2 linked regions of the Arabidopsis thaliana genome follow. The protein of the gene in region 1 purifies or fractionates together with the protein of each later gene. This does not show direct contact. Each region holds a gene or a part of one and is shown in the gene's direction. Other genes may lie near its edges. The genes, in order: IDH2 and PHT3;1.

The links.
Region 2: the proteins of IDH2 (region 1) and PHT3;1 purify together in Arabidopsis thaliana (affinity purification with mass spectrometry, with the first as the bait; one large-scale study listed by BioGRID). This does not show direct contact.

What each region holds. Positions count from the first base shown.
Region 1 is NC_003071.7:7,457,824-7,467,795, reverse strand, and holds IDH2 (isocitrate dehydrogenase subunit 2), read left to right. Parts: upstream 1-5,188; 5' UTR 5,189-5,329; coding exon 5,330-5,839; intron 5,840-5,972; coding exon 5,973-6,212; intron 6,213-6,291; coding exon 6,292-6,370; intron 6,371-6,459; coding exon 6,460-6,734; 3' UTR 6,735-6,982; downstream 6,983-9,972. Other genes in the region: AT2G17150 (Plant regulator RWP-RK family protein), read left to right, coding at 1-747; AT2G17140 (Pentatricopeptide repeat (PPR) superfamily protein), read right to left, coding at 2,056-2,182, 2,479-4,976; LYM2 (lysm domain GPI-anchored protein 2 precursor), read right to left, coding at 7,148-7,248, 7,337-7,509, 7,615-7,735, 7,983-8,640. UniProt on the Arabidopsis thaliana protein: Performs an essential role in the oxidative function of the citric acid cycle.
Region 2 is NC_003076.8:4,529,846-4,540,692, reverse strand, and holds PHT3;1 (phosphate transporter 3;1), read left to right. Parts: upstream 1-7,573; 5' UTR 7,574-7,727; coding exon 7,728-8,048; intron 8,049-8,410; coding exon 8,411-8,772; intron 8,773-8,849; coding exon 8,850-8,893; intron 8,894-9,019; coding exon 9,020-9,234; intron 9,235-9,360; coding exon 9,361-9,485; intron 9,486-9,573; coding exon 9,574-9,634; 3' UTR 9,635-10,050; downstream 10,051-10,847. Other genes in the region: CARAB-AK-LYS (Aspartate kinase family protein), read right to left, coding at 1,700-1,786, 1,884-1,946, 2,029-2,145, 2,228-2,350, 2,431-2,523, 2,601-2,720, 2,802-2,918, 2,990-3,085 and 5 more; AT5G14050 (Transducin/WD40 repeat-like superfamily protein), read right to left, coding at 5,514-7,154. UniProt on the Arabidopsis thaliana protein: Transport of phosphate groups from the cytosol to the mitochondrial matrix. Mediates salt stress tolerance through an ATP-dependent pathway and via modulation of the gibberellin metabolism.

The sequences.
Region 1 (9,972 bases):
AAACTCCAACTAGTTATGGACTCTGTCCAAGGTGCGCAGGGCTCTATCCAACTCGATTCATTCTATACAAGCTTCCCAGAGTTGAACTCCCCAAATATGTCTAGCAATGGCCCTTCCTTGAAGAGTAATGAACAGCCAAGTCATTTGAATGCTCAAACCGATAATGGTATTATGGCAGAGGAAAACCCCAGGTCACCATCATCTTCTTGCAGCAAGAGCTCTGGTTCAAGCAACAATAATGAGAATACTGGAAACATTCTAGTTGCTGAGGATGCTGATGCGGTGTTAAAGAGAGCTCATAGCGAAGCACAACTGCATAATGTGAATCAGGAGGAAACAAAATGTCTTGCAAGAACCCAGAGCCATAAAACATTCAAGGAGCCTCTTGTTCTTGATAATTCATCTCCATTAACAGGTAGTAGCAACACGAGTTTAAGAGCTAGAGGTGCCATCAAAGTGAAAGCGACATTTGGTGAGGCCAGAATACGGTTTACCTTACTCCCGAGTTGGGGCTTCGCAGAGCTGAAGCAAGAGATTGCTAGGCGTTTCAACATAGATGACATTTCCTGGTTTGACCTTAAGTACCTGGATGATGATAAGGAGTGGGTTCTTCTGACATGTGAAGCGGATCTCGTGGAATGCATTGACATATATAGATTAACACAGACCCACACAATTAAAATAAGTCTGAACGAAGCTTCTCAAGTCAAGCTAAGTGGTTCTTTTGGCAACACTGGTCTTTCCTGAAAAACATTAAACGAAGTTTTGTAACTGCAAAGCACCAGGAAGATTCTACTGATTTTTTTAGCTTTTGTAGAAATCTCACTTACCTTTTCAGCATGGGAATCCTGTATAAACATATTTCCAGTTCCCTGAACAACATTTTGGAAGTGGCAGTAGTAACTGGTCTCCTGTATTGCCCTAGCAGATTTTTGTATAAAAGAGATGAATTCCATAGACTTGTATTTTATGCATGTACAATCTTATTGTCTGGTTTCTTAAACTCTGCAAGACTGGAACTATGGCGATTGAAAAATTCTGTGTGTTTCGCTTATTTATTTTTGGGACATGTCTGGTTACAGGATACTATCTAGTCCATGATTGCATTGATGTACATGGAAAATAATGTGCCGGGATTCAAGAATATCCATTTCATGATATTGATTATGAGATTAAACATTTAAAACTGATATTGTAAAAACAGGAAAAAATAATCTGTATGGCTATGTTTAAGAAGAAACCTAGTTCCAATTAAGCAGCTAACACTTGGTGGTCTTCCACGTTTTATAAAACTTAGTCTCTTTGTATCCCCACTACAAACTCCTACTGTTCCAGAACCAGAAAATGTGCCGACAGAAAGCACAAGAAAGCTTACATTTTCTCCAATAATGTAGATTGTGTTCCTCCCACCCAAAATTCAAAGTTGGGCTCAAATTCTTTATGAAAGCAGGCAGCTCTTATGTTTAAACGTCGTTCTAACAAGGATATATTTGTCCAGCCATGTCGTCTTGTCTGGTTCTACCAGCTTAGCTACAAAGACAGGAAAACAGAAGGTGAGGGTCCAATTCTAAAATATTTTTCCACTGAACATGAAGGTTATTAAAAATAGATTGGATTCCTCAACATTATCCGTGATACTTTTACCAGAGAGTTATATTTAGCTTCGTTAGAGATCTCTCAACCTTGTACATCACAAGCTACTATAAGGCTAACATCTTACACATGAGCATGGAGACAATGATCAAAAGAGTATGCCACAAGATCATTATTTGATTATAAAATTAAATACTACTGTCCAAAGTAGGAAGAAAATGAAGAAAGTGATGTGAAGTCCTACTCTACGTTACTTTAAATTGATTTTTGATTTAACGAGAATTTTGTTTTTTTGTCCAAAAGATTAGACGTGTCTACATCAGAAGGCTGTTGTATTTCAGACGTGTCTACAACAGTATTCGTTCTTACCTTTACCTGTCATCCTTGATGAGCTGCACCTCAAAAACTTGCTTGCGCCATCTGAACTTTCCCATCAGAAAGAAAACAGAGTCATGCAAATCCTTAACCATCGTCCTCCCAGTAGTCTAAGTAGTCAACTCTTGGAGGCTGAAAGCTTGATATATCCCCTTGACCCCATCCTTTTTTAACTCTTGACAGAGACCTTAACGCAATTCCACTACCGTCATCTCTGCAAAATAGCGATTGATAGAGAAAACATTCATTAGGTTTCCGACAAGACAGTTAAACCGATATTCTTAATGTAAACTCACTTGAAACCAAAGACTCTACTGCCTAATCATATACACGAATGCTTACTCCAAATCTTGGAATCTTTTTCTTTCCTCAAAAAACCAAACTTTAAAAGGAGAAAGCAGAACTACAAAACCTCCAATAAAAGCATCTTAAAATACATATTGAAACGGCGCCTATAACAGGAGAAACAATAAATGATGACAAACCAGAAGGAGAAAGTGTCATCCATACCTGTGTAATATATTCTGCCAGTTGTTTCCACCATTCTTATTATGCTTTTTCTGGTGTATATCCCTTGCATTTGGATCGACTTTGTTTGCTACTTCACCAACTGAAGCCATTTCCATCATCTTATCAGCAAAACTGTTTGCCTCTTTCTTGTTTCCCATCTTACCTAAGCCATCTATCACAGGCATCAATGCTGCAGGGTCAAATCCATATCCTCTGTCTATCATCTTATGCAAAATTCCACTAGCTACTTCTAGTTCATCCTTCTTACATAAGCTCTCAACAAGATCTTTATAAAGAAAAGTCCCCAACTCAAAACCTCTATCTAAAACAGCTTCGAGCAACTCCGTAGCCTTTAGTAGTTGCCCTGCAGCAAGCAACTCATTGAACATCAAGCTGTACAGGCCTTCTTTCTGTCCACAGATACTTACAGCAGTCTCAAAGACTTCTTGGGCCATATCAAAATCAGGGACCTTACAGAACGCTTCAATCAAATATTTGAAGGAAAATACATTTGGGGCTATGTTCTTTTGCATCATTTCATCAAGGAGGTTAGTTGCATCTTCAACTTTTTCTCCCTCACAAAGATACTGGATTGCAGTATTGTAGGTGCATATATTTGGTGAAATGCCCTTTTCTTTCATCTCATCCATCAGTCCATGAATTTCAAAAATCTGGTTTTTTATGCCTAAGCCCAGGATCAGTGAGTTATAAGTCTCTAGGCTCTTATGACAACCTTTCTTCTCCATGTCTTTGAGAACGCGAAATGCAGATGATATTTTCCCCTGTTTGCAGAAATGATGAATGAAAATGTTATATGCGACCGAGTCCGGTTGCAGTTTCTCTCCCATCATCTCGGCAAACAAATTTTTTGCTTCAGCAAACCTTCCAGCTTTGCACAAACCATTAAGTAAAGTTGAATACGTGATCAGGTCAGGCAAACAGTTGTTCTCGATCAAGCTATCATCCACCAGTCCGATATATGAATTGCCTAAGTTACCAAGAGCAGCACTTCCATGCACCCGCATTCCCTTAACTATCTCAATAGCTTTATCTAATTCCCCGCTTCCACAGAGTCCGTCAACGATAATGTTGCAGGTGACAGTGTCTAGTCCATAACCTTTCTCATTCATCTTTCGCAGCAACTCTTCCGCTTCAGATATTCTCCCCATCTTCCAAAGGCTATGTAGCAAAATATTGCAAGTATAAGCATTTGGTAAACAATTATTCCTCATCATCTCCTGCAACAAGCTTTTAGCTGCATCGACTTTCCCAACACTGCAATAACCATGAAGAAGGCAGCCATAAGTTACAGCATCCGGGCAAACACCATTTCTTTTCATCAAACCAACAATAGTTTTTGCATCGGATAGCATGCCCAATTTACACAATCCATCCATCAAGATATTGTAAGAATAAATACTTGGTCCTATTCCCTTATCAGTCATTTGCTTCAGGACTGTTTCAGCCTCTATAAACTTCCCATGTCTGACCAAACCCTGCAGCCAAATATTGTAACTCTGCAAGCTAGCGAGATCATCATTTTCTCTAATCGACTCAAAGAGGGTCTTGGCATCTTCCAGCAACCCTACCTTACAGAAACCTTTCAACATCAAGTTATATGTTATACTATTGGGACGAGGAAGACCCAGATACTCATCTAGCTCCATATCACTGAAAATTCTAGACGCATCCAAAACCTTTCCTTCTTTACAAAGCGCTGATATCCTAGAGTTAAAAGTGACAATATCAGGCACCAAACCTTCCTCCCGCATCTTCTCCACCATCTTTTCAGAATCATCATTCCTACCTTCTCTACAGAAGCTCGAAACAATGGTGTTATAGATAACTTTATTAGGCAAAACCCCAAAACTTTCCATTGCATTCAACAATTCAAGCCCTTTATCAGTCAAACCAGCTTTACAATACCCACGAACCAAAATCCCAAAAGTAAACTCATTTGGCTTACAACCTTTCTCAGGCATTTCGTCGAACAACTCTCGAGCAGCATCAACACAACTTGAATCACACAAAGCACGTATCAAGAGATTAAAAGTATAAGTCTGTGGAGCAATCCCACACAAAACCATATCTTTATACAACCACGAAACGAACTCCACACGTCGTTCCTTTATGCAACTTTCAAGCAACAAATTATACAGATAAACGCTAGGTTTGTTCTCAGGAAACCGCGACCGTACTAACTGAAACTGCGGAAACGCCTTATCAATGTGATTCGATTTCGCGAAGATGGATACAACAGAGAGAAGAGACGAAAGTTTCGTCTTTTGGATTGAAGAAGAGAGTATAAGATTGTGAAGCTCTTGGATTTCTTCGTGCATTTTGGCTCGAACCAGGATACGAGCGATTGTAGGAGTCGCATCTAAAGAAATGCCATGGCTTTCTTCTGAAGGAGAAGAGAATATCCTCTTGAAGATTCTCCATGCTAATCTCGGATTGTTCGTGTTCTTCAACAAAGCCTTCACAAGAGATTGTTCCATAGAACTACTACAGAACTCAAAAATTCAATTTTTCCAAATTGGTCTTATAAGCAAAATACTAAATTACATACGGACTAAAACGTATAATGTTAAGAAATCGAGGACTATTATGTTAATAACAGAACATGGTTTTACCCAATTTGGTCTTAATGTACAATTCAAATTATAAACGGGCTAAACATTAATAACGGTTAAACATTTGGGGCTATTATGTAAACAATAAAAGTTATAGACTAAAAGTAAACGCTTTTCTTGTTCTTTCTTCGTTCCAAAAAGTCGCAACTCTTCTTCATCTTCTTCCTCTGACGATCATTTTCAGAAGAATCTGATTCCGATCAAAATTGCAGAAGAAGATGTCTCGCCAATCGTTTTCTCTACTGAAGAATCTTCGTAGCATCGCTTCCGGTTCCAAAATCCAGACCCGATCCGTGACTTACATGCCCAGACCCGGTGACGGAAAACCAAGACCAGTGACGTTAATCCCCGGAGACGGAGTTGGTCCGTTGGTAACAAACGCGGTTCAACAAGTGATGGAAGCGATGCACGCTCCGGTTTACTTCGAACCGTTCGAAGTTCATGGAGATATGAAGAGTTTACCTGAAGGATTGTTGGAATCGATTAAGAAGAACAAAGTTTGTTTGAAAGGTGGTCTTAAGACTCCCGTCGGTGGTGGTGTGAGCTCTCTCAATGTTAATCTGAGAAAGGAGCTTGATCTCTTTGCTTCTTTGGTCAACTGTTTCAATTTGCCTGGTTTAGCTTCTCGTCATGAGAATGTTGATATTGTTGTGATTAGAGAGAACACTGAAGGTGAATATGCAGGTCTTGAACATGAAGTTGTTCCTGGTGTTGTTGAGAGCCTTAAGGTGCAATTTCTCAGTTTTTGTTGATTGTTTTGGTTACAAATGTGATTTGATTCATAGTGATTTGGTAGTAGATGTGAAAGTTGGAGATGTTCATGTTATATCAAAGATGTCTCTGATGCTAATGTTTTGGTAGGTGATTACAAAGTTCTGTTCAGAGCGTATTGCAAAGTATGCGTTTGAGTATGCCTACTTGAACAACAGGAAGAAAGTTACAGCAGTGCACAAGGCTAATATCATGAAATTGGCTGATGGTTTGTTCTTGGAGTCTTGTCAAGAGGTTGCTAAGAAGTATCCAAGCATTGCTTACAATGAAATCATTGTTGATAATTGTTGTATGCAACTTGTGGCTAGACCAGAGCAATTCGATGTCATGGTAAATGTTTTTCAGCACTTGTTGATGCTTGGGCTAGCTTCCTTCTATTTTGGTTTATTTACTTGTATCTGCTTTGCAGGTGACGCCTAATCTCTATGGTAATCTAGTGGCAAACACTGCTGCTGGTATTGCTGGAGGTACTGGAGTCATGCCTGGAGGTAATAATAAAATTCATTTTACCTTGATCTAATGTACAAGCACTATAGAGAAGTAGATTCTCTTGCTTATGCTATGAAATTTTCTGTAGGAAATGTTGGGGCGGAGTATGCGGTCTTTGAGCAAGGTGCATCAGCGGGAAACGTGGGGAAGGATACAACGGAAGAGCAAAAGAATGCAAACCCTGTGGCTTTGTTGCTGTCATCAGCCATGATGCTTAGACACCTTCAGTTCCCTTCTTTTGCTGACAGGCTTGAAACCGCTGTGAAGCGTGTTATCGCTGAAGGGAATTGTCGGACTGAAGATCTTGGTGGAAACAGTACCACTCAAGAGGTCGTTGACGCTGTCATTGCAAATTTGGATTGACTTGACAATTCCAACTTCGCTTGTGTAAAGCATCAGTCACACGTCGGTATGATTCACGCTTACTGGAAAATACTTCTAGTTCCCACATTCTTTCGAGATAACTCGAATTGGGATTTCAGATTTCGAGAAAAATAACATATGGTTTTTTGTTTTGTTTTTCTTCTTTTTGTTCATGTAATATGCAAAGTGCAAAGTGAAAACTGCCTCAGAGCATTATTTTTTGAATAATGAAAATTATGTTTAACTTCATGTCAAAGTTTTGTATTGTTTAGTTGGTAACAAAATGTGTCAAAAGCTGAAATGTTTCCAATATAAAAATGGTACAAGGACGTGATGCTTCAGGTGAAACAATGTCTTTATTTTAATCCGAACTGTACTTAGATACACACTCATAAACACACAACAAAACATTACTAGAGAAGGCAGAGACAAAGCAGAGCACACTGAATCAACACAATCACGAAATTGAAGCTTGAGCTGAGCGTTGATGCATAGTTATCAGGACCAGCAGAATCTGTTCATATCAGAGAGTAACCAGGTTATTAAGTCACTTAATTACACTACACTATAACCAAATGCGCAGAAACTTGGATCAAACAAACCTGGACAAGCTGGGGAAGCTGTGGTGAAGATGGTTTGGTTGGAGTAACCAGCATAGACGCAATCACGAGGTTGTCTGCAAGAGGCGTTAAGCAAAGCTCCATCACATTGTGAAAATGGTGGGCAGGTTTGCCAGTTCGAAGGCTTAATCTCAGATGATGATTGACAGCTTAAACTGATCACAAGATACAAAACCAAAACCATCAGAATCTAGAAAAAGAAGAAAAAAGAACAAGCTTATCCTATGGGACAAACACAACGAGATTATCAATCACTTAACGTCCAATTCTTCAAAGCGTCACAAGTACACTTGACGCAATTGTTTGCAGTGAAGACGTATGAGTTGTTAGACAGAAGCAGAGGAGCATCCAACGAGTCCTTCCTCACAGAAGAGCTACAAGCTGCAAAATAAAGTTCAAAGTTCATAACTTTTCTTCAAAGCCAATCACCAATTAGTAATAAAAACTCAAACCTAATTAGATTTGGTTTGTCCAATGAAACTACTAAAAGTCAAAGACTTTTCAATCAAATTTTTTCGTTTATTTCATCTAAACCATCATCCAATCCAAACCCATTTAGATATATCCAATAAAACTACTAAAGTCACAAACTTTCAACTCAAAAGATCCAAAATTTCAGGTTTTTAACCTTTGAGAGGGACGTCGAGAGGTTTATCAGCAAGAAGCTGAGAGTCACCAATGATTCCATTGAGCTGAGCCAACGTCGTGTTGTCCGTTCCAAACTGAGCAGCGATCTCACCGAGAGAGCTCCCTAGTTTGACTACATGTGCGTAGTGAACAACATCCTCACCGTTCAATTTATCACAGCTACAAGGCAAAGGGATCCAAAACTTTTGACCGATTTCGATTTTGTTCGGGTCAGGGATTTTGTTAACCTCACTGATCTTCTCGTACGTAACGAGACCACCGAAAATCTCAGTTGCGACGAAAGAGAGTATGTCGTCTTTCTTGATGGTGTATTCGATGTCCCGGTTCGAGACACCGGTTCCATTGGAGCAAGAGCAATGGATTGGGACACGTACGACTTGATTCGGGTTCACGCGTTGGTCACGTGAGGTGTTGAGTGGGAGATTGTTAGCTCCGAGGATCGAGCGGAGGTTCTTGACGGCAAAAAGGGTTTGGATATTGCGCAACGTTGTTGCGTTCTTGCTTGAGTAACCAACGAGAGATTGACACGTCGAGGTTGAGCCACTGCAGTTGAAGTTTCCGGTCATTTGGGCGGAGAGAGTGAGGAAGAAGGAGAGGGAGACAAGGAGACCGAGAAGGGTAAAACAGGAAGTTTCCATTTTCAGGTCGCCGGTGTGTTCTCAGGTTTTTGGTCTTTGGAAATAAAAAGAGTTGTGATTTGTGAAGATGGGGACCAAGAAGAAAGTTGACCGAGAGAGGACTTTTTGAGTTTGACTTTTTGACTTGCTGGAAAATAAATGAGAACAGTCTGGTTTCACATTGTGTTCTGTTCCTTGATTGAAGTGTTGCCATTTGTCACGCCCTAATTGTGGAGAAAAAAGTGTAGTTATATGGATAATTGGATATAATATCACAACTAAATTTTAATTAGCTGTAAACTGCAAGACAATTTATATTTTAAAATTTGTATATATAAAATTTTATAAATTATATTTAGTTATAAAATATTTCTATTTTAGTTTATAATCGTTATTAAGTAAAAATATATCACAAGTCCACATAACAATTGTTAATAAACTGAGAATTTAACCCGTATTGAAACAACATATTAATGATTTCAAAAAATTTATAAATATTGATTCAAACCCGTCCATCATATAACTTTGTTCTGTAATATAACACATCTCATGATTTGTTTTCTAAAAATAGTAGTTTAAAAATTGATGACTATTTATTATATACATAAGTTTGCAAATTGTAAAATTTTCTAAGAAATTTATATTTTATAATATACGATTGTTATTAAGTAACTGTATATCACAGAGAAATTTTTGGTATATACAATCTTATCTTAATTAGGTTGTTTAGATATTTCTAATATTGGTAGTATTAAAAATAATAAAGCGGCAGATTGATGATATTCTAAATTTTATTAATGTTGATTCAAAAATTCATCTCACCATATAACTGTATACCACAATACAATTTGTCCCATGTTATTTATTTTATTTTTATTTGTTCAAATGTTTATAATGTTATAAAACCTTTTATTGATATTAGAAAATTTTAATATTCTCGGTAAAACTAAACAATAAAACTAAAGACTGAATTAAATCATATACAAAATTTTAAATTTGGATGCTTGTTAAGGTAAGCTTTCCTATACATTCGAATTTGAATTTATTTTAATCATATATATAATATTATTCTAAATCATTATCTGAATATTTTAGTCGATGTGGGACATTGAACACACATCATTTCCATTAATTGGGTAATATATGTCCGTTTTTTTAATTTTGAATCACAATATAGGGAGAAAAAGATTGAGTTTTTCATAACTTTATATATTATAGGATGATTTAAAACAGTTGAAAAAATCAAACAAAGATGAATGGAGATTTACAGTTTTAAATCTTAACCAAATATGAAAAGAACTAGGGCAATATAGTCGCATTTTACGTAACCCAATCCAAAAGATTTTTAATGAA
Region 2 (10,847 bases), on another chromosome or scaffold:
ATGCTTTTTTGGCTTTCATGCATGCTTCTGCCTTCCTTTTGTTATCTGCAAAATTTGCCTTCTTGTTTCTCATGTTTGACCAACCCCTTCCATAAAAAGGAAAAATGCTAAAATAAAAACATTTATCGTTGTCAGCACAAACAACTTGTTATGAAATTTGTAGGTACCCAATCTGCAATATAGAGTCACCTCTCATCGATTGATTATATATGAATAATATCCCTAAATTATTCATATTCTATACATCGATCTATTTGAGAACATTTCTGTTACTTTTTAAGAAAATAAAAGAAAGCTTAAGATATGGGTATATATAGTTTAAGTGAGTCCGAAGAGTTAAATGTCCCTTCATTGGTTTAAGATTTGGTGTATAAACTAATTAAAGCTGATTTATATGATTTGGAGGACTAAATCTTTGTTCTTAAGATGATGATAAAATAACAATCTTTGAGGGATTGCGTTTGTCGGACCACTTTATCATATATTATATGGAAAAAATTGGAAGGCCGTTACAGAAGCCTTACGTAACAGATTTCATCAGATGTGTATTTCTCGTTGACCGGCTGGTCGGTCGGATATGACCCTGGTCAAGTAACTGTTGCTTATGCTTTTCAGGAAGGGTATTTTCGGTATCATTTAAAGTGTTTCTTTACTTTCTAAGGGCATCTTCAAGGCTCAACACCATTTTGGTGTTCAAATTACATCATTTTTAGCACTAAAACTTGTGTTTTTTCCGACCATAACACCAAAAATCATACTAAAAAAAATATATACTATTATATTATCTATTTAAAAGATTTCTTTTATTATTTAATAGTTTTGATTAGTATTTATTACTAGTATAGAATTACATAACATTATAAACATAGTATATTGAAATATATATTTAAAAATACATAAAATTGTAACTATTTTGAGTATTTTCATACATAATAATATAAAAATATCATAACTAAATAAACTATTTCAAGAGATATAATATATTAATGTATCCATTCATTTTTATATTTTATATCTATTAATCATTTGTAATTTTATATTTGTTAATTGAATTTTTATTGATATAATAAGTGAATAGTGTTTAGAGTTGTGAATAGTATCACACCAAATTTGATGTAACACTGTAGCATTACACTAAAATGGTGTGAATTTTAGAGTTCCATTGGAGAGCTTTTAGTGCAAAAATTACACTAAAATGGTGTTTTAGAGTCCCATTGGAGTTGGCCTAAGCCTGCTCCTTCAATGCTCACTTTCTCTTCTATACTGAATTTGTTTTTCTTTTTCTTTTTTCTTCTTTTGTTGACAAGAAGAAATTATGAAAATATACTGATGTCAAAATGAAGAAACTAATTTATATCTTAATTCTTGTGAACAAAATAGTATAATTACCATTGACTAATAATTGTAAACCTTATGTCATAAAACCAAATCTTAAATCCTAAAAACTAAGCTTTAAATCTGAATCCCTACTCAACACACTGGTTATTTCTTTATTTCTTTTTGAGCTTGTCTATGTACTCTTTAAATTAAAAGATTATAGGCTTTGGCTCAAATTATGATGTATTGTATCACAACAACAACAACAACAACAACAACAATGGACAAGAATTTGAAATAGTTCCAAGTCTTGACACATTCTTAGCATTAAACTACGCACAGAAGCAGAGTTGAAGGAGAGAGATGGGTGCTCTGTGTTGCACTAAGGATCGGTCTCAAAGAAGGCGGAGTGGAGAGCCCTCACACATTGCTCTGCCTCTTCATCATTCACTATCAATGAGATGTTTACCTGAAACACACACACACACACACACATATCCCCATTCACTATAACCATAAGTAAACCATATTCATTCACTATCATGTAGCAGCGGATTCCATCTAACCTTAGATGCACCCTGCGAGATCATCTGCACATTCACTCCATTGCTTCTAAATACTTGGAACACCTGTTTTGTCATTCATTCCATTCCCACTAAATTAAAACTTCAAAATTCAAAAGAGAACACAAGACATGTTACTCTCACTCACCTTCTCTAATATGAGTGAGGATTTCTGAACATTTCCTATGAGAGAGATGATTGATCTGCGTTGAAGTAGTTTCACAACAGCAATCTTCTCTAGCTCTTCCACCAAATTATCCAGTTCCTGTTCACACCCAGTCCCTTTAACCAATACCACATATGACCCTCACAAAAGAAACAATCTATCAAAGTCAAAGGAGTATTACATTTACTCGCTGAATTAACTCTCTACCCCAGAGCTTTGCTGGATCCAATGTCAATGATATACTAACTTCACTTGTTGCCACAACATCAACCGATATACCTAAATCTTCAAATGTGGTAAACACCTGCACACGAGACAGTGAGTATGCTTCCAGTGAGATATTAAACAAAGTCGAATAAAGATATCATTATCCAATTATATTACCTTGGCAAGGAAACCATATTGGCCAAGCATACGGGTGCTTGCTATGTCCAACATGGTCACATTACGTTTCAGAACAATGCTGGTTAGCACAGCCTACAAGGAATTAAAGGAGGAAAAGGTCATTGATATTTTGATATAAGGAGTTAAAAAAACACATCTGTTTCACGAACCTTACTCATGTCTCTTGATCTGGTGATGACAGTTCCTGGAGCAGTGGGGTTGTACGAGTTCTTAACCCTCACAGGAATGTCGCCATCTCTTGCTGGCCTCATAGACAGTGGATGCAACACCTGCAATGGAAGAGGAATATGCTCAGCCATCTGACAGAAAAGAACTCATCAGCATAGTGCATAGCTAATCTACGAGATTACCTGGGCACCAAAGTAAGCAAGCTCAGCTGCCTCATCGAACGTTAAGTACGGAACAGATTGAGCTCCAGGATATATGTTAGGATCACAAGTCAAAACTCCATCCACATCTTTCCAAACCTATATTAAAAAATCATTGTTTAACAAAATTTCATCTACATGATGCAATCTTGGCCAAAGCCATCAAATACCTGAATTTCCCGCAGTCCTAGCGCTTTCCCAATCGTTGTAGCTGTCAAATCACTGCCACCCCTACCCAGCGTAGTGATAGCACAAGACCTCCATCCCTGCAGAAACACATGCATACGAGAATGAAGTTTTGTTTTCAAAATTGATACAATAAGCAAAACAACTCTTGTGCAGAACCCATTCCAATTTATAGAATAGATGAGAACCCGAGTTGAGCACCACATATTTCTTGATCCACGAGAACAACATAAAAAGTCAGAAAAATATAAACCTTTCCGAGGTAGCCAGTAACAACAGGGACTGCATTTTCCTTGCTCCAGTCGCCAACAAGTGTTTTTGAGACGGCAGGGTATGTTGCTTCAAGTATATCAGCATTAGTAAAGTCGTCTGTGGTGATAAATCCGATCTCAAATGCATCATACTGCCAACAACAAGCAAACAACTCATCAAGTAATGAACTAAACTCATGTTAGAGTACATACTTGTGAGCATTGACACACTCTCAAGTTTCTGTAATCTGTATGATGAATGCAGCAATTATATGCAGGGCCAAGGTTATGCTAGGACCAGAGTGTTATAAAGCAACATACTTGACGCGCTTTGTGGCCAATTTTATTGAGATACGCAGAGAAAAGCCTTGTGGACATGCACTCTCCAAATGAAACCAAGTAGTCCCTTGTGCGTAAGGTTAGCTCTTTCATCATTGATATGCCTTTGAGAAGCTGGTGTAGTCCTTCTAGGTGTTCTACAAATAAATTAACCAGAAAAACGGATTCAGATAAGAAAAACTCAACTGAATGAGCAAAGCAAAATTCTGAAACTACAATAGGAGAACGAGAACCAAGGTACTTACTTTCAATAACCGTTGTTTCCACTCCAAGCTCATGAGCAGTTCTGAACATAGAGAATTTTATTTCCCATGAGAATAAGGCTAAATTTGGACTGTGAACACTAGATAACAATCAAATACACATGAGATAACATTGTTTTCTTTAACCTTAAATGGAGTTCCTTTATAAAGCTCAATTCTTCAATACTTTCTACGTTAGTGACACCGCAAGTAACAGCCTTCTCTCCAGCCTAACAAAAGCGGAAAACCAAGAAAATAATCACTCTACCGATAACAAAAACGTCATAAGGAAGACGTAGAAAAGATTAGTATAGTTGTATTACCTTCAAAAGCTTATTAGTCGTCTTTCCCATTGCTGATAGCACAATGACGGGCCTCTCATCTGGAAAGCTGAGTATAAGATTGGCAACTTCTTTCATCCTCTCTGCTGATTCCACTGATGAACCGCCAAATTTCATTACACATGTCAACTCTTTGCCAGTTCCGCTTGAATCGCACGTCTCAGGCTCTTTTCTTTGAAGCAAATCGACTCTTAGAGCTTCACAACTAACTCTCAAACCTATATTCCTACAAGAATGCTCTACGTCTCTAAAGACAGCACTACTTGAGGGCAACGTAACTGAAAAACATGCCCCCTTTGAAGCAAACTCAAGCCTCTTTGAACTTAAAGCAAGCCCTGGAGTTTTAACTCCGTACAACTGCAATGAAGCCATAAGCTTGCTAAATCTAAGAGACTTGCGTGTTGTGATCTCGACAAATGGTACAGCTGTGCAATGTGGAAACCTGCAACTTTCAAATTCACAGAAAGAATATCAGATCATTATCAAGGGATCTAAATCTATAAATATAATGAATGAGGTAAAATCATGTTAAGAAATGAATTATGAAAAATTTATTGAACCAATTAATACACTGTAAGTTGACTGACTAATTTTCAGTGAAATCAAACAACCAATACTAATAAACAACATCATAAGAGAAGCACTTGTGAAGCATATAAACCAGAAAATGTGTAAACTTGTGCTTCTTCATCACCCCAAATGCAAGAAATGATGAATCATTCGAGAAATTAGAAAAGAAAACAGCAAAACCCAGAGAAACCAAAGTAAATCGAGAAATGTAGACAATTACCTTAACTGGATTTCCGTGAAGAAAAACAGATAAAAATTGGAACTTTCCTTCGGACACAGCTGAAACGACCTGTCGGATTCGCCGGCCAGGCTCCGAAGGAAATAGTACTAATGTTTTTTTTTGGGTTTAAGGAGTGAAAAAGCGGCTTAAGACTCTATTAGAGAAGGAAGAGAACGTGAGACACAAACACTGTTTTGTTTGCCCTTCCCAGAATGGACGGTTCAGATTCAATCTCTGGGTCGAGATACCCTTTCAGCTATTAGTAAGCCACTCTACTAAAATTTGTACTTTGTGTTAATCCATGAAATAATGTTGACATCTTTCTTTTTCTCCTGCATTTTTATTTTTAGATGATAGTACCAAATAAGTGGTTGATGCTGTCAAAATCGTGAGAAAACAAAACTTGGCCCACTCAATCCCAAGAATCAGAAAGAAAATTTTTCATTGATCGATAATTGGATAGGAAAATTGATAACATAAAGAGTACTTGCGACAAAAAAAGAGGAAACACAACAATCCCAAAACTGCCCTTGTTAAAGACCACTTCAAGCATTCTGGTAATGATGGAGTTTATACAGCAAAACTTTTCCGGCAGCGTTCCCCATAGCCATGAAGCCACTTCCGGGGCTGAAGTCTAGGCAGCGAGGGTAATGCATTGTGCTGTTTGGTGGCGGCCAGTTTGAGAAGACGGTTAGGGATGGAACATGGACTAGCTTTACACTGTTTTTGTTCATTGTAGAGACTATAGCTAGAATCTGAGCATCATGGTTGAACTTCATGAAATCTATCTTGGATGTGAGATTGTCCACTGTCTTTATCGGCTTTCTTTTGCCTCCCACAAACTCAGATTTCTTGTAAATGTTTACGATTCCTCTGTCGGTTCCAGAAGCAAACAATGCTCCGTTAAGCGAACTGCAAAGAGAAGTGCCACAAGTGCTGCCTTCATCCACGCCTTTGTATAAGCATTTCATTGTTCTCAGATCCCAGACATAGACTTGCCCGTCACCTCCTGAGCTCAGCAAATGCTTCCCATCTTCACTAAATGCTAAAGACCTAACTGAACCATTCATCTTTAGGGTTCCTATCAGCTCTTTTGTTTTTGTAGACACAAGTAAGATATAACCTTCGTTGCCAACAAAAGCTATGGTGTTAGAGTCTTGTGACACCTCGAAATATTCCAAGCTTTTCTCCTCTCTACCAACCAAAGGGCCAATTTTGTCAAACTTTGCCTTCTCCAAATCAAAGCTGTAAAAGAACTTTCTTCTTCCGGAGACAATGACCTGAGAGCCATTGGGCAAGAAAGCCGCTTTACGAATGGGACAGTCCTCAAGAAAAATGCTCTGGATCTTGGTGTTCCTCTTTCCATCAATCTGGAAAAACCTTAACCGTCGATCCAATCCAGCAGTGAGAAGCAGCTGAGCGTTCTGATGGAAGTGGACAGAGTTTATTGGACCATTTGAAGGATCCGCTGCATTGGCATCCACAAGCTTAGAGTATTCAAGACGACCAGCACACAGCTTGTTACCACGAGACTTCACCACAAGATCTTCATTCGTTCGAAGGATATCATCAACTCCTCCATCCTGAGTATCATCATCATCTGAAGACTCTCCATCAACTATTTGAGAATCTGGCCGAGCCCAATCAGTCCCCGGGTTTAGCTTAGCATGATGAGCCCTCAGCCTTGCAATGTACTCAGACCCAGAGATCAAACCCTCATTCTCCTCTTTCCTTAGCTTCCTTAGACGGTTGACACTAGCTATATCAACGTTTATCTGTTTCTCTTCTTCATCCTCCCAGGCAGCTTCTCCCTTTCTAATTGCCACAACTTGACCATTCTCTTCATCAGAAAGCTCTTCATCATCATCACCATCATCCTCGTAGTCAGGAATCTGCCTCACAGCAGAACGGTCTACATGAAACAAAGCCGAACCATCTTCTTCTTCTTCCTTACCAAACGTAACAGGAGAGTAGAGTGACCCGAATATCAAATTCTCAAGCTTTTTCATTTCAACCAGTTCCGATTCTTCTAGCTTCTGCTTCTCCTTCTCTGTCTTTCTTCTCTTTCCCCTAGTGAGATCATCATCGGACCCAATCTCTTCCTCATCTTCAACATCTTCGTACTGTTTCTTGAGCTCCTCTCTTTTAATACCCTTACTTTTCGGAGCATTCTGAGATAAGCTCATCTTTCAATACCACTAATTCAGAGCTGCATGAAACAAACAACGATAAGATTCGCAAGCTCGTTATCAATCCGTAATTAAGCTCTCATTTCGGGAAGAATTACTACAAAAGCTACTAATTTGACCTAATTCATGCACAAATTTGATTACAATGAAGAAATAACTTACAACGTTGACGAGCAGAGAAACCTTGTAGCCGGTAATTGTCGGCGAGAGAGCTTCTACCCTTCTGGTTGGATTTTTTAGGGTTTTAGAATTTCATTTTCCAACAAAAGATAAACAAATAAAAATTGGAACTTGTCGTTAATACAGCCCTTTAATGGGTCAACGGGTCTTATGTCTCTTGAAAAAGCCCATGGGCCAAGACAGGTAAAATAACAATGTCACTTTCGTAATTATCGCAAAGTATATGCCTTGTTCCATCAGATTCCATTTGCCCAATAAAGCCCGAGTTTCGAGAGTTAATACCTCATTGGTGCTTTTGGTTTTGGCAAAGCGTGAGTGAGATCGGGAATCAAACATCGCCTCCGTCTCTCATTTCAAACGCTATCTCCATCTCCTTCCTCCGCCGCCGCCATGGAATCTCCGAAGAATTCTCTGATCCCGAGCTTCCTCTATTCATCATCTTCATCTCCGAGATCTTTCCTCCTCGACCAGGTGCTCAATTCCAACTCCAACGCTGCATTCGAGAAATCTCCTTCTCCGGCCCCGCGTTCCTCTCCTACGTCGATGATTTCTCGGAAGAATTTCCTTATTGCATCTCCCACCGAGCCAGGGAAGGGGATCGAGATGTATTCACCTGCCTTCTACGCTGCTTGTACCTTTGGTGGAATTCTCAGCTGTGGTCTTACTCACATGACCGTGACTCCTCTCGATCTCGTCAAGTGCAATATGCAGGTATGTAACCTTTAGATCCGTTGTCTTTCGTTTGTTTTCTGAGCTCATGTTTGTGGATCTGTGTTCCTGTGTTGTTTAGGTAGTGAGATCTGTGTTGCTAGATCTGTGATTTGATTTTCTTTATCGCTTTGTTGTTTTCCTGACTATTGGTTTTGTGTTTGATTTCAATATCTGAAGAATTGTTTGATCTCTGATAAACGCATCTTCGTCTATCCATTTCCATGTTATATATGAATCATTCTATTTCAATATACGTTAATATGGTCTGATTTCTGGTTCTTCTTTCGAAATATTGTTACTTGACGTGTTATGTGTTGAATGGTTCACTTGGTCTTGCAAAACTGATATATCTTGTTATCCAGATTGATCCAGCGAAGTACAAGAGCATCTCGTCTGGTTTTGGAATTTTGCTGAAAGAGCAAGGAGTCAAAGGCTTTTTCCGTGGATGGGTTCCTACTCTTTTGGGTTACAGTGCTCAGGGTGCCTGCAAGTTTGGATTCTACGAGTACTTTAAGAAGACTTACTCTGACCTTGCTGGACCTGAGTACACTGCCAAATACAAGACTCTCATCTACCTTGCTGGTTCTGCTTCTGCTGAGATCATTGCCGATATTGCACTTTGCCCATTTGAAGCTGTGAAGGTTCGTGTTCAGACACAGCCTGGATTTGCTAGGGGGATGTCTGATGGATTTCCCAAGTTTATCAAGTCCGAAGGATACGGAGGGTGAGTTTTTCAATACCAATAACATTATCTCCCTTGTTACTGCTAGCCTTTTGGTCTGATTTCTGATTTTTTTGCAGCTTGTATAAGGGTCTTGCTCCACTCTGGGGACGTCAGATTCCTTGTAAGTTCTGGCCTCTATTTTGCAACCTGTTGCACAATCTTTTTTTTTTTTTTTTTTTGTTTATTGATGAAACATATGTAGTTCTTTAAAAGCAAAAGGTGGTGATGATATCTATGAATTTTACAGACACTATGATGAAGTTTGCTTCCTTTGAGACCATTGTTGAGATGATTTACAAGTACGCAATCCCCAACCCAAAGAGTGAGTGCAGCAAAGGTCTGCAACTCGGAGTGAGTTTTGCCGGAGGTTACGTTGCCGGAGTGTTCTGTGCCATCGTTTCTCATCCAGCAGACAATCTAGTGTCATTCCTCAACAACGCTAAGGGAGCAACCGTTGGAGATGTAAGTCACTATGTTTGAATACAATAGCCTAATGCTAGAATGGCTGTGGTTTGGTAGTTGTATACAAGCTATTGATTTCTGTTACGGTAGAAATAATATTTAATGTTTGTAAATGACATGTTGCAGGCGGTGAAGAAGATTGGTATGGTGGGACTGTTCACAAGAGGGCTTCCTCTTAGAATTGTGATGATCGGGACGTTGACTGGAGCACAGTGGGGATTATACGATGCCTTCAAAGTGTTTGTTGGCCTGTAAGTTCCTCTCTCTCTTCACTTACTTTCGTACCTTAATTGTACCTTCAAAATGCAAAACTCTCAATTCTTTTGATTTGGTATTCAGGCCAACCACTGGTGGTGTTGCTCCAGCTCCTGCCATCGCAGCTACTGAAGCCAAAGCCTAAACAATGACGAAAAAGGTTATTAGGAGTTCGATGGGGTAGGATTTTTGTTTGGAAAAATAAGAGAAACCATACGGTGATGAGGAAGAGTGAGTAAGCTCAATTTCTTCCTGATTTGAACTTTATCATTTTTGTTTTTTTTGAAATTTGTGTTCCTGAATTCAGGATAGTGCTCTCTCTCTCTTTACATACTCTCTTCCTATTGTTTCTTGTCCTTTTTTTCTTTGTGTGATGTAATCTTAAAAGATGAGAGGGACACACTCCAAGATAGAGAGAGTGGGCATACACCCACTCACTACTTTTTATTCAGTTTCAGTTGAAATTCTCTTTTGGTTGCTCTATCTATTATTTTACTTTTTTGTTTTAGAGATTATATAAAATCTCGTTTTAAAACATCAAATCATAGATAGATCTTGAATACTAATCATATGTATACGTTTAACCGCTAAGCGCTAACATAAGGAAAATATTATGTAGGCAAATGATTAATAAACATATGATAAAAAAAACAACGTCGCCCACCGTGGGGCTCGAACCCACGACCACAAGGTTAAGAGCCTTGCGCTCTACCAACTGAGCTAGACGGGCTTTGTTGCCCAACTAAGTTACTTAACAGTTTGATCCCAATTAACAGATGTACCCTTGCAATTGGATTCCATTCGTCTAAAGGCTCTAACAACCAACCATCTGTTGTCAAACCAGTAATTTTGAGCGACGACGATTGAGGGACTAAGGACTTGATTGGTTCTCCCTCTACCACCCGCAAACGCTGCGTTTGCGGTTGGTAGCGGTTGTTAGCGATTGACACCAATCATAAAAACCGCTAGATATCGCTTTAAACCGCTCGAAATCGCCAGTTTTCAAAAGCTCCTTTCCGCAAGCGTTTGCGGTTGCGGGCGGTAGCGGTTAGGTTAAAAAGAATAATCTTTTTTTAATTAATTAAAATAATTGTGGCTTCCACCCAAACCCTAATCACTATAATTAAAATAATCTAATCTTTTATATATCTTATTTTTATTAGAAAACCCTAATCAATATATTGTAACTCTATTCTCTCAATTATGGCATCCGATGAAAATCAAAATCAAGAATCAAACATAAGTATCATCTATCCTTTTATTCATTCATTAGCTAGTGTAATTCTTTTACTATTTCATGGCATCGTTGTTTTTATTTTATTTTGTATTGTTTTGAGTTTTTTGATTGAATACATTTT